Linked DNA regions of Tribolium castaneum. The protein of the gene in region 3 interacts with the protein of the main gene of each other region in a biochemical or structural test. Links are inferred from orthologs where the notes say so. Each region holds a gene or a part of one and is shown on either strand. Other genes may lie near its edges. The genes, in order: HDAC3, Rack1 and hypoxia-inducible factor 1-alpha.

What was found.
Region 1: the proteins of hypoxia-inducible factor 1-alpha (region 3) and HDAC3 form a complex in vitro, tested with the Homo sapiens proteins (2 studies listed by BioGRID). The link is inferred for Tribolium castaneum from reciprocal best matches to the Homo sapiens genes HIF1A and HDAC3.
Region 2: the proteins of hypoxia-inducible factor 1-alpha (region 3) and Rack1 form a complex in vitro, tested with the Homo sapiens proteins (2 studies listed by BioGRID). The link is inferred for Tribolium castaneum from reciprocal best matches to the Homo sapiens genes HIF1A and RACK1.

Annotation. Positions count from the first base shown.
Region 1 is NC_087401.1:11,246,619-11,250,973, forward strand, and holds the start of HDAC3 (histone deacetylase 3), read right to left. Parts: upstream 2,951-4,355; 5' UTR 2,789-2,950; coding exon 2,584-2,788; intron 2,536-2,583; coding exon 1,659-2,535; intron 1-1,658. Other genes in the region: flap endonuclease GEN, read left to right, coding at 3,176-3,333, 3,379-3,658, 3,703-3,856. UniProt on the Homo sapiens protein: Histone deacetylase that catalyzes the deacetylation of lysine residues on the N-terminal part of the core histones (H2A, H2B, H3 and H4), and some other non-histone substrates.
Region 2 is NC_087399.1:653,575-657,737, forward strand, and holds Rack1 (small ribosomal subunit protein RACK1), read right to left. Parts: upstream 2,559-4,163; 5' UTR 2,489-2,558; coding exon 2,380-2,488; intron 2,228-2,379; coding exon 2,019-2,227; intron 1,816-2,018; coding exon 1,684-1,815; intron 1,254-1,683; coding exon 970-1,253; intron 801-969; coding exon 578-800; 3' UTR 528-577; downstream 1-527. Other genes in the region: mts (serine/threonine-protein phosphatase 2A catalytic subunit beta isoform), read left to right, coding at 2,979-3,062, 3,301-3,414, 3,903-4,163. UniProt on the Homo sapiens protein: Scaffolding protein involved in the recruitment, assembly and/or regulation of a variety of signaling molecules. Interacts with a wide variety of proteins and plays a role in many cellular processes.
Region 3 is NC_087396.1:19,203,211-19,206,861, forward strand, and holds part of hypoxia-inducible factor 1-alpha, read right to left. Parts: intron 2,464-3,651; coding exon 2,240-2,463; intron 2,186-2,239; coding exon 1,843-2,185; intron 1,795-1,842; coding exon 1,526-1,794; intron 1-1,525.

The DNA.
Region 1 (4,355 bases), on a different chromosome or scaffold from region 3:
AAAGTTAAAGTTGAAATGGCTTGAAAAAATACAGTACCATAAATAAGTCATGTACAACACTCCTAATAAAATTTATCAAAAAATTATGTACCATTTTTTAATAAAAAAAAAATGACCAAAAAATGGGCTTTTTCATTTTATTTTTTAATGACATAGAAGTTTTTTTTTCAAATTCATATACAACGTTGGGCAAAAGTATGGAACCAAGCATTTTATGCTTAAACTATGTACCTTACGAAAAAACTAATTATTAAGTCATCGACTACTTTAAAAATGTGATAATTTTTTAAGAATAAAATTTTTTGAAATTTCTTTTAGTCTACGTGTTATTAATTTTTTTTTCAAATGGCTTCCTCCTATGGCGATTTTTTTGGTAAAAGATTATGTTCTAAAAATAACTTCTACTTTAAAAAAATTAATTTTAAGCCATGTTTTTTTTTTCATAAATTATTATTATTATTTGAACTTAATTTTTTTATAGAAAAATAAACAAATCACGTTTCTAACCGTTTTAAACTCGGGAATGATTCAACGTTAGAACAACACCCAGTTGTAATGAAACTATTTTGTGCAATACTTTTCATAAAAATTCAATTTCAAATTTTGCGTTCAGTTCCACTTCAGACCTCCTTAATATAGTTCAGTGGCGCAGCAAGGGAGATTGTTGGGGGTTGAGAACATAATCATGCAAAATAATTTAAGTTGCAGTAATAAAACAAAACTTTCCAGACAATCATTGTAGACATTCGATTTTTTCTACTTCCGAAAATTCCGAGAAAAGCAACCCACAAAATCCATATTTTCGTTATATTTCAGAAAAATCTTCGGAGAGGTTTTTTGTAAAATAAATGCTACATTTCTGATACCATGGTAGAAATAACTTTTTGAGTAATGACGTTATTTTTTATGAAAACCGACATTTTTAACAGATTACTGTTTTTGATAGTAGGTACACTCCCTTATCTTTCTGGTAATAATAAAAAAATAAAAAAAAATAATATTATCTACACAAAACAAAAAATACCAATATTATTTACCGATTATTTTGCATATATTTTTGAAAATAATTAAAATAGAAACACTTAAACAAAAATATTAAAACAATTACCACCTATAAAATAAGGCAGGAAACAGACAGATAAAGCTTTTTGTGTGAAATTCTTAATAATTTTTGTAGCTACAAAATGTGAGCTATACAACAAATAACCTTGAATTTAAGACAATTTTTTTTACATTATTTTTGCCCCGAACAACATTTCCGAAAAAACATTCAGCAACATATTTATTTTTAGTTAATTTTAAGTGCTACAAGGAACTAAAATAATCATATGCAGGTAAAGAGCTCATTTTTCATTTCTGCGTCGTTATTAGTTTACTAATGAAAAACATATTTTTACGAAGGTAAACCCCCATAAACTCTATCTCTGGCTGCGCCACTGGTATAGTTGTTCAACCTTCAATTGAAGAGTACAGGGGAAAAACAGGAAATAACTACTTTTCAAGAATTTGAACTAATAATGTCATGTAGTTTTTACTATTTTTTTAGCTCAAGTTATAGCCCTCCATAGTCAAAATTAAAACTAATTAACTAAAAAAAGTTGTTTTTCTTTGAATGACGTTCGTCATTTTTCCCTTATACTTATCAATTTAAAAATTACTTAGTAATGGCCTCCAAATACTGGCGACTGTTTGCGTTTTCCTGCCTTGTGACCACCTCAGGATGTAGGGTAAAGTCGGGTGCGAAAAACTCCAAATATTCGGTGTAGGGCAATTCATTTGAAATTTGTTCATCCACAAGTAACGAAGTTTCGTAAGTCCAACACCTCGCGACATTTCTCAGCGTATAACCGCCACCTCCAACCACCAAAGTTGGAACATTCAGACTCTTGACGAACTTAACACACTCCCCGTGCCCTTTGGTACTCAGGGAGAAACACCCCAGGCGGTCGTTGGCCAAGGAATCGGCCCCACATTGTAGTACAATTGCAGTGGGTTGGAAAAATTCCATCACGCTTGAAATGACCGGCTTAAAAACCATCCAATAGCTGGAATCGTCGATTCCTTCCTTCAGCGGCACGTTGACGGAGTAATAACGGCCACTTTCCGCCCCCACTTCGTACATATCGCCCGTGCCCGGGAAGAAATAATTGCCGTATTTGTGGAAACTGACCGTCATGACCCGATCAGTGAGATAGAAGGCTTCCTGGACGCCGTCTCCGTGATGCACGTCGATGTCAATGTATAAAACCCTCGCGTGGTACTTGAGCAATTCTAAAATCCCAATCACAATATCGTTAACGTAGCAGAAACCACTGGCTTCGAATTTCTTGGCGTGGTGGAGCCCCCCTGACCAATTAACAGCAATGTCGCAGTGGTTATTGTTCAGTTTCATGGCCCCCTCGAGCGACGCCCCCGTGTACATGGAGCAGAAGTCAAACAGCCCCCAGAAGACCGGGCAATCGTCCCCCACGTTATAGTGACTCAGATGCTTGGTGAACGCTTGGATGTTCTGCGGCGTGACTTTTTGCAGAAAATCTACAAGTGTGGGGGTTAAGGCAAGTGAAATTACCGTGGTGGCTTTACCGATGTATTCGTCCGAGTGGAAGCGACACATGTCGTGGGCGCTGGCCTTGTAAGGCCGGTAAATCTGCATGTGCTTGTGCAGCCCGTAATTTAACACTAAGCTGTGGATCACAGACAGGCGGTGGGGCTTCATGGGGTGCCCCGTCCCGTAGTGGAAGTTCCCCACGTCAGGGTTGAAGAAGTAAGACACTCGGTGCTTCGACATCACGCCGATAGCTCCTTCCACACGTACAAAAAATACAAAAACAAAACTATAACAACAAGGCGTTTCGTCAGCCAAAACCTATCCTCCGGCATGCTTCCGGATAGCCCCCATTGTGGTTTCTGATAAAACAGCCCCCAAACAAACGTGACGTTTCTGCGCCTCACTACCAACCGAACGACGCAAAAACACCCATTAAGAAATGGTGTTGTCGTAAAGATTATTATCATTAATTACAGAACATATTTCACAAATAAAACTCTGGACGCAATGTTGTTTTTGAGAATAAAGACGAAATTTGCCCATTTGAGTCTGTTTTAAGCGTTTTATCCCCCGATTTTCGTCGAGACTTTGTCACCAACTCCAAAACCAAAATCCCCAAGTTTGAAAATGGGCATCAAAGACCTGTGGACGCTTCTGGCCCCTTTCGGGGAGCGTAAGCCCCTCTACGAGCTGCAGGGCAAGACCGTGGCCATCGACTTGTCGTGCTGGGTGTGCGAGTCGCAAAACGTGACCGAATACACGGTGCAACCCCGCATGTACTTGAGGTTAGGTGACTGACACCGGTTCAAAATTTTGATTTTTTTTTCCAGAAATTTGTATTTCCGCACTTGTTACTTGCTCCTAATGGACGTAAATGTGGTGTTTGTGCTCGAGGGGCGCGCCCCCGAGCTCAAATACAAGACGATCGCCGCCCGCAATGCCCTGCAGTTCAAAGGGGCGAAGCCCAAAAATGGGGCCAAGACCAAGGACAGGTCGAGGTTTAATCACACGTTGAAACGGTGCGAGGAGATGTTGAGTTTGTTGGGGCTTGCGTGTGTGACTGGGGAGGGCGAGGCCGAGGCTTTGTGCGCACAATTGAATGAAACTGGGGTAAAAACATATTTTTTTTTCTAAGGTTCAAGGGGTTGTTTTAGCTCGTCGATGGGATTATTAGTCAGGATTCGGATTGTTTCGCGTATGGGGCACGTGTCGTTTATCGCAATTTTTCCATCTCGCAGCAGGGCAATCAGGCGGCCAAAGGGGGCTCTGTGGACGTTTATGACATCAGTGTGGCCAATGAGCGACTGAGTGAGTCCCCGAATTGCGAATGATTGTTTGATTTTTTTATTTTATTATTATTTTTTTCTGATCAATCCATCAATTTATTATCCAAATATACAATACAGGAATTATTTCGACAATTTTTAAAATATCTGGGAACCTACCAGAAAGATTACTTTAATTACACTTACAATTTTTTTGGTACATCAGAAAAATATTTATCAAAATAATTGGCTAATTTTTCACTGTTGCTAATTTATAAATTACCCACTTTAATAGGGATATTCTCAAAAAATCTGCTACAGCCTATAACTCTTTACATTTCATAGCTAAGAGAGCTAAGAAATAAATTTCTTAAAGATCGTCGAAAGTATGGATGAACAATTTATTTTGTATAAACTTTCGTAGTAAGTAATTAGTAGAAAATTAACAACTGGAAAAACAACACTAGGGCAATAGGACAATTTGAGGAGGAAAAAAAATTGCCTCCTCAAGAAGAGGGAAAAAGTAATGGGTTTCTGTAAGG
Region 2 (4,163 bases), on a different chromosome or scaffold from region 3:
ATGAGTAATTTATTTTTTAAAGTTTGCCAAATAAATAGATATTTTTTGTAGGTATTTCTAAACATATCACACAGAAATGAACGTTTGCTATTAGATACATTAGTAGCTTTTTTACAATTGCTGAATAATATTCATTAATAACACTTAATAGCTAATATTAAATAATGGCTAAAATATTTTTCAAACCCCCAAAAAGTTAACTAATTTAAATTAAATGGCTCTTGTACAAGAAAAAAAATCACTTGTTAAAGCTCAACTAAAGAGACGGTTAATTAAAAAAAAATATAGTGTAAAATGGCGTGTTATATGCAACCTAATAAACACAAAATCCAACAACAGACGATATATACGCGACCACCAATACACATTTGTGTATTTGGTGAAATACTCAGTAAAAAGTTACTTCATAGCTTCATTCACAGGACATCATAATTGGATTTTTAATCAAACAAAAGAATTTGTTTTCATAACTTTATTTTGTAAAAAATACAACTTAAATCTTATAAATATGTATAAAGAAAATAATATAACTTATTTCCGGATTTATTTATTATTATTATAAAAAATACATCAAGAATTAGTGGGCAGAAATGCTAACTTGCCACACCCTGATAGTATTATCAGAATAGCCAGCAAACAAAGTTTGCCCATCTGTCGACCACGCAAGCGAAAGACACTGTGGTGGTTCAGCCTTGCTAAGCGGTTGCGAGACAACTTCTGGTCTAAGTTCCTCAACCATTTCCTTGCTCTCCAAATCCCAGATCTTGATAGAGGGTCCAAAAGCGGCACACAACCAATACCTTTAACAACGTTCTTCTTAAACAAATCCTAACAAACGAAACGTTTGAATGCTTCAAGCAAAAAAAAATCAGCCCCATATCCGCTAACCTCTCATAGCCAATCAAGTGGTTAAGTTTTGTGTCATCATTTCACAATCACACCGAAATAATAAATCACATCGATTATTACCTGTTTGGCGAAAAGCACAAAGCCGTGATGATATCATTATGGTCAAGTGTGTGCAAGTGTTTGCCATCGTTAAGATCCCAAAGCATTGCTTTGCAATCTTTACCGCCACTTGCACACAAGCTACCATCAGGAGAAACAGTCACAGTGTTCAAATAACCGGTGTGACCTGAATGGTTGATCTTGAGGCGGCAGTTGGTCAAGTTCCATACTTTGACCATGCGGTCCCAACCCGCCGACACGATGATGGGGTTCGAGTGGTTGGGCGAAAATCGCACGCAAGAAACCTAACAAAAAAGCTTAAATGGCAAACTTCCTTTTTCTTCAAATTTACAATTTCATTCACAAAACAAAAACAATAAACAACTAGGCACTGTTTTCAACAATATTTCCGCTGATATTTCTATTTATCTTGATGACATTGCACACGTAACTCATATTTTAAAGCTATTTAATAAAAAATTTCATGCGAGACACAAATTTAAAGTTTATACAGATAAAGAAATAGCTTCTAATAAATATTTAATTAATTTAATGTCCATATCATCCATACCGTCAGAAAATGTAGATTATAAAAAAATAGTCGCCACCCTTTTTTTTCAGTAAATTTAACAACTTTTAACAAGAAAAGAAAAAACATATCTACTACTAATAATGCAGCACTCGCCGTGCTCGTGTTGTAAAGAACTCACGTCGGAAATTTCTCCGAACACTTACCCAATCAGAGTGGCCATCGTCCTGGATGGTATACTTGCACTCGGCCAAAGTGTTCCACAATTTGATGGTCTTGTCGCGGGATCCTGACACGATTTGGCGGTTATCAACCGAGAAAGCCACACTTAAGACATCCTAAACAGATACATTTTTAAGTTTTGCGAATGATTGCTAACACACCCATTGGTAGGACTAGCCTAATATGTCTCACGATACTTACACAAGGGGGCCCAACAGTCAACTTCAGTCGCCGTTAATACAAAAAAAACAAAAAATCTTCCGACTGTTGCAACGTGAGATATCAAAACTGTAAAACGGTAAAAATGTATGTTTCAAACCTTGGTATGGTCCTCAAATCGACGCGTTGTTTTCCCAGCAGCCAAGTCCCACAAACGCAAGGTCTTGTCCCATGAGCCAGAAAGGGCGTAATTACCGTCGCTCGACAGGACAACGTCAGAAATAAAATGGGAATGGCCGTACAAACGCTTCTGGGGCACCCCGTAGCATGTCTCGTCACGTGTCAGTTTCCATACGATCAAAGTCTTGTCTAAAACCAACAAAATCGGAAATTATCCACGGGAAACATGCTCCCGAAGGCCAATTTGGCGAAATTGGGGCAAATTTCAAGCGGATGGTTGCGTAATTCACCAATAAATGGGGATTAGAAAGGAGATTATGGGTTAGAATTTGGGTTCTTACCTCGAGACGCGGACAAAATCAAGTCGGGGTATTTGGGGTTGGTCGCAATTTGCGTAATCCAGCCGTTGTGCCCCAAAAGGGTGCCTTTCAATTGAAGGGTTTCGGACATTTTTCAGAGGACCTTCCTCACACAAGACCGGCTCAAAAAGAAAAGGGAACGGAAGAGAGAGGTGGCTCTGCAGTTGCCAACCGAACAAAAACACCCATTACGCAACGAAAAGTCACTATTAGTCACTAGATTAGCTAACCACACCGGTTGGAGGGCCTGGATTTTTTTACGTTTTGCATAATTTGAAAACCAAACGGTTTTTACAACTTTGTTGTAGCCCCTCATTACAATTTGTGCAAAAAGTGGTACTTGAACATTTACAGTTTCCTGTATAGTTGGTTGTACTTCAAGATTTTTTACCTTTGGTCATTTCTAGTACCAAATTTTTGACGATTTTTTTGTGGAAACTGCGTTATGTCACACCTTTTATTTAATTTATCATGTTTTTTGTTATTTGAACCGGCCAATCAAGCGGCGTGGGCAGGGCCTGGGAAACAAACGACCTTGCTTGAGTAATGTCAACAAAGCGTCAAACTGTCTCTTACAAGCAATGAAAAGCCCCCAAACGCAAAAACCGATTAAATTTCGAACTCCGACGTCCGCTGTGTCAATATTATGCGACAAACCGCCCCAGGTAAAATTCTGTCCGTGATTAATGGAGTTCGATTTGAGTTTCCCGGTCGGTGGTGTGAGTGTACAAAGCCGCCGCTAGAGGTCTTATTAAATCCACCACATAATCGCCATTTTGGTGTGTTCATCCGAGAATAGATAAAAACTAAAATAACGAGTAATTTATGTAGAGAAACAAACCGAATTTCGAGCAGTTTAGTGTAATTATTTATGATCTAACTTATTTTCGTGTGTATGACCAGATACCGCTAGCAATGGATGATAAAGCGTCGTGTAAAGAACTGGATCAGTGGATAGAACAGTTAAATGACTGTAAGCAACTATCAGAAAATCAAGTAAAGACACTATGTGATAAGGTAAATATCGCCCCTTTGCCTAGTTTTAGTCCCTTGAATCGATTCGTGTTCGCTCCAATTAACGCAATTAAAGTGTTTATTTTAATTAGCACCGCCAGTTTACTCCTTATTTACAGTCCTGGTTACGTTATCTCTAATAAAATAAGCACTTTAGATCCTTGGAGCCCGATCTTTTATCAGATCCTCTCAAACAAACCACTGATTCATACCGATGATTACGAATGAATCAGTGGCGGCTCGTGGTTAAACCAGGTGAAGAGCTAACGAAATTCAAAATTTACAACCAAATTTCATGTTTTCCAATTCAAAGTCATAAACACAAGCATTCTATCATTCCTAATATGGCCAGAAATTTCCAAAGATGACTGAGAAACTTCACTAAAAAAGGTGACCTGACTTGACTTGACCTGACCGAGCTAAAATTAGGTTATGTTTTTTCTGTCGTCATCAATGAGTCATCGTGTGATGTCATTTTTTCCCTGTTCCAGGCGAAAGAGATCCTGTCGAAGGAGTCGAACGTACAAGAAGTGCGATGTCCTGTAACCGTGTGCGGGGACGTCCACGGCCAATTCCACGACTTGATGGAGTTGTTCAGGATAGGAGGAAGGAGTCCCGACACGAATTACCTCTTCATGGGTGACTATGTAGACCGTGGTTATTATTCGGTGGAGACGGTGACACTCCTAGTAGCTCTCAAAGTTCGATATAAAGAAAGAATAACGATTCTAAGAGGTAACCACGAGTCGAGA
Region 3 (3,651 bases):
TTTCAATATTTTTCATTAAATTTTTCACAATCAGATTCCAGCATCGTCCTTTAATAAAGAAAATTTTTCTAAGTAATAAATTATATTCATGTTTCAACATTCCTACGACCATATGAGTCAACAAGATGCTTATGATTTTTTTTATAACTTGAATCTTTCAACATTTCATAAATAAAAACACCGAAGCCTTTTAAGTAAATGATTTTCTGTGTGGACAGAAGCCTATTTGTTGAATTTGATCCATTATCTGGATGATTTGATAATTTTAAAATTATCACAGACCGCAATAGTAACACCGAATTTTCATTAAAAAAAATTAAATTTTAACTGATGAAAAAACTCCAACCATTATTATTTTATTGATGCATAAAACATAAGTACAAAAAGCTATTATTACGAAAACTGAATTTATTTTTACGATGAAGTAACAGGAAACGACAAGCAACATTAGATCTGACATTACTCCTCTTTACGAGTTGGCATTCAAACACAAAAAATACTGATTAAAAGGTTAAAGATGTACTAAAGTTTCAGATTTTCTAATCCAACAAAAATGCAACTTTGCGGTGAAAATTCCGTAGGAAATGTGCTTACACACACCTTTAATTAAAGCTGGATGTAGCGCTAAAAAGTTCATTTGAGGGTAAAAAAGGAGTCACTCTTACAAATATCTTTTATTTTCTTTTACAACATGAGCATATAAACAATATGCTTAAAAAATAAATACACAATAATTAATATAATCTAAAAATAATCTTTATAAAAGATTATACATATCACTGAATAATTATTATTGCCTTAACAATAACAAGAAAACTATTTACGATAAATTTATTACACTTTTGACCAAGACCTAGTCACACCGTTGCTCAAAAGTGCGCACAATTAACTGCATTTAATTCGTTACATGGTGTTTCGTTGTTAACAATTTGTACAAATCTATTTTTGTAAAATTTTAAATACCTTCGAAAACATTTAGGTGACGTTTGTGAATACAATGTAAGCGTCCTTACTACAGTCTCTACATGATATGCAAAATAATGAACGATATTTCCTTGTTGTTTGCTGAAATTAGTAACATTTCCGCGAAATACAATGACAGTCAAAGCTTTCTGTAACACCGAGAGTTAAATAGTGAAAATGGGTTGAAGTGGAATGTGGTACATAAATAGAGAGCTTCTCAGATAGTGTTTCCTATCACAGACAATACAGTACGCTGTCTCTAATTATTACTTTTGCAAATTATTGGCAGTAGGAGTAATCTGTTTGGTCTCCCTGATTTCTTGTACTTTGGCAACTCAATAAAGGCATTTAGTTAGGAAGGAGACGCACGGTTTCAAGGATAAGAAAAATCCACTCGCTTTCATAAGAAAATATATCTCTCTTTCCCTCCCGCTATAAATCTAGATTCCCTTTTGTCCTAAACTGAGAGCACAGCGTACTCCACATTGAACATTTCACTTCATCTTTTGGACTTGGAAGGGGTCAGGCAGATGTAGCCGGCTCGAATATCGAAGCCGCTTACCAGAAGGTTCATCAAGACACTGTCACTCGGCTGGCTTATGCAAGCCGCCTTCTGGCCGCCCGAGTCGAGCAACCAGTTGCTCTTGCCCTTCGGGCGGCCCCGGTGGTGGTTGGTTGACATTAACTGCTGCAAAAGCTCTGAAGACATTTTCTCTTTAGGCTCGTTTCGCGACCGCTTTGTGTTTGACTCGTAATTTGAAGTGTTCGATCTTTTGTTTGTTCGCTCTAACCGGGACGATATCGACGACGACTTTCCGTTCATTGCTGAATCTAAAAGCAACAATCAACAAAGTTCGACCAAACCCAACGACTTTTTACTTTTCTTGTTGTAATATTCGTCCACGTCCATGAGCCGATCCGGCGAAATCAACCCTCCGCCGTGATCGTTCGGACGCGAGTGTTTGTTTATCGAAGAGCACAACAACTGTGCCAGACTCGAGCTACTGTCGGGCGAAGCTCTCGACTTTTCGCTGCTGCTCCACATGAGATCGTCTGACATCAGCAGGGGCAGATCGTCGCCCATGTTCATCGTGATATAGGGGGCTTTCGCCACCAAATCCGACTCGTCCTCTGTGTGCAAATTCATGAACGTTGACAAACGATCCTCGTCGCTTAGAGAATCGCTCGGACTATTTAACGAAGGTAAACTACACTCCGAATTCTAAAAAACATGGCATTGAGACTTGCCGATTCCTCCACCGATCCCTAATAATACCTTTGAGAGATTCGGAGATAATAATTGGGGAGAATTATCGTAGGAATCTCTGTACGAAATGAAAGGGTCGGTGGGTTCGTCGGTAAGCAGCGGCTCAAAATTATCTCTGAGCAAGAAATCGTCCAACATCTTGTCGGTTAAAAAGGGGTGATCGTCTAGAGGAACGCAAACGTCGCCGGCTACTGGAGCCAAATGCGTCAAATCGTCAGGCTCGTCCTTCAACACTGTAAATAAGGAAAATTCATTTAGCACATACAGAACGCCAGAAACCGAATCACAGCTCTGATAAAAACATTACAGTTCGACTATTTATATTATTATTATAAATTATTCCATTATGATGATACTAATGTCAAGGCTTCCACGCTATTTATCGAGTTAATTGCTGATTGAAACTACTGGCTCTAAATTTAGAAAGAAAGCACGCAGCCTTGCCAGAAAAACACAATAAAGCCGCTGTTGTCCAAACACCCAATATTTGCGAATTTTTACAATTATGTAACGTTCACATGATTGCGACCTTCGGCGGCCCATTACGAATTATATAATGCAACTGATGAATTTTACGCGCTTCATTCGAAGAATGGAAAACAACATACACATAAACGTCATTTATCAACGTAATTTGTGTCGCAATCACACATATTCATGAATTATGTTAACTGATTCATGTAAGTAGATAATAAATTCGAAGCGACCACGATTGATAAAAGCAATGCAAAATGCAAGTGACGCCTTGTTTAGAACTTTACTCCTGTTGCGGTTATTTTTCCCTTCGAAAAATGCAAATCACGGCATTATAATTATTCAACAATTATGTCCGACATGAATTTCATTGCGTTTCCAAGAAAATAATCTCGGTGAGCACGACGGAATTTTTCGCATCCTTTTTGGCACTTCTCACCTTGAAACATTATGCACATTAATTGGCACAACAGTGTTAATGAAAGTTGCAAAGTTTGATTTGAAAAAAATTGGCCGTAAACTCGAACAAGATGAAAAGTAAACAAACCAATTATAAAATTCCAATTGTTAAACAATTATCTATTTAAGTATAATAATACAAATTAAGGCAAATATGCATGTGGCTCTTCTTATCACTGTGTGTTCTTTTATTGTTTCTTTGATGTTTATTTTCGTTTCTTTTTGTCTTAATTTTTGCACCTCACTAGGTGTGTGACTTGTCCCCATAGACGTGTAAGTGATAACGTGTCACTTGGAAAATATTGAGTGCAATTATAGTACAACCGACTTGACATTTGAAATTATGTAATGAACACTCGTCTAAATCTGTTGTAAGTTGTTATTAATACAGTTGATAACCTCTCTCCAAATAAGTCTTGTATGGTATTGGCCGATAAAGCCTTAACTGTAGAACGTTATTACAAACATGTTATTGCTACCTAGAATAT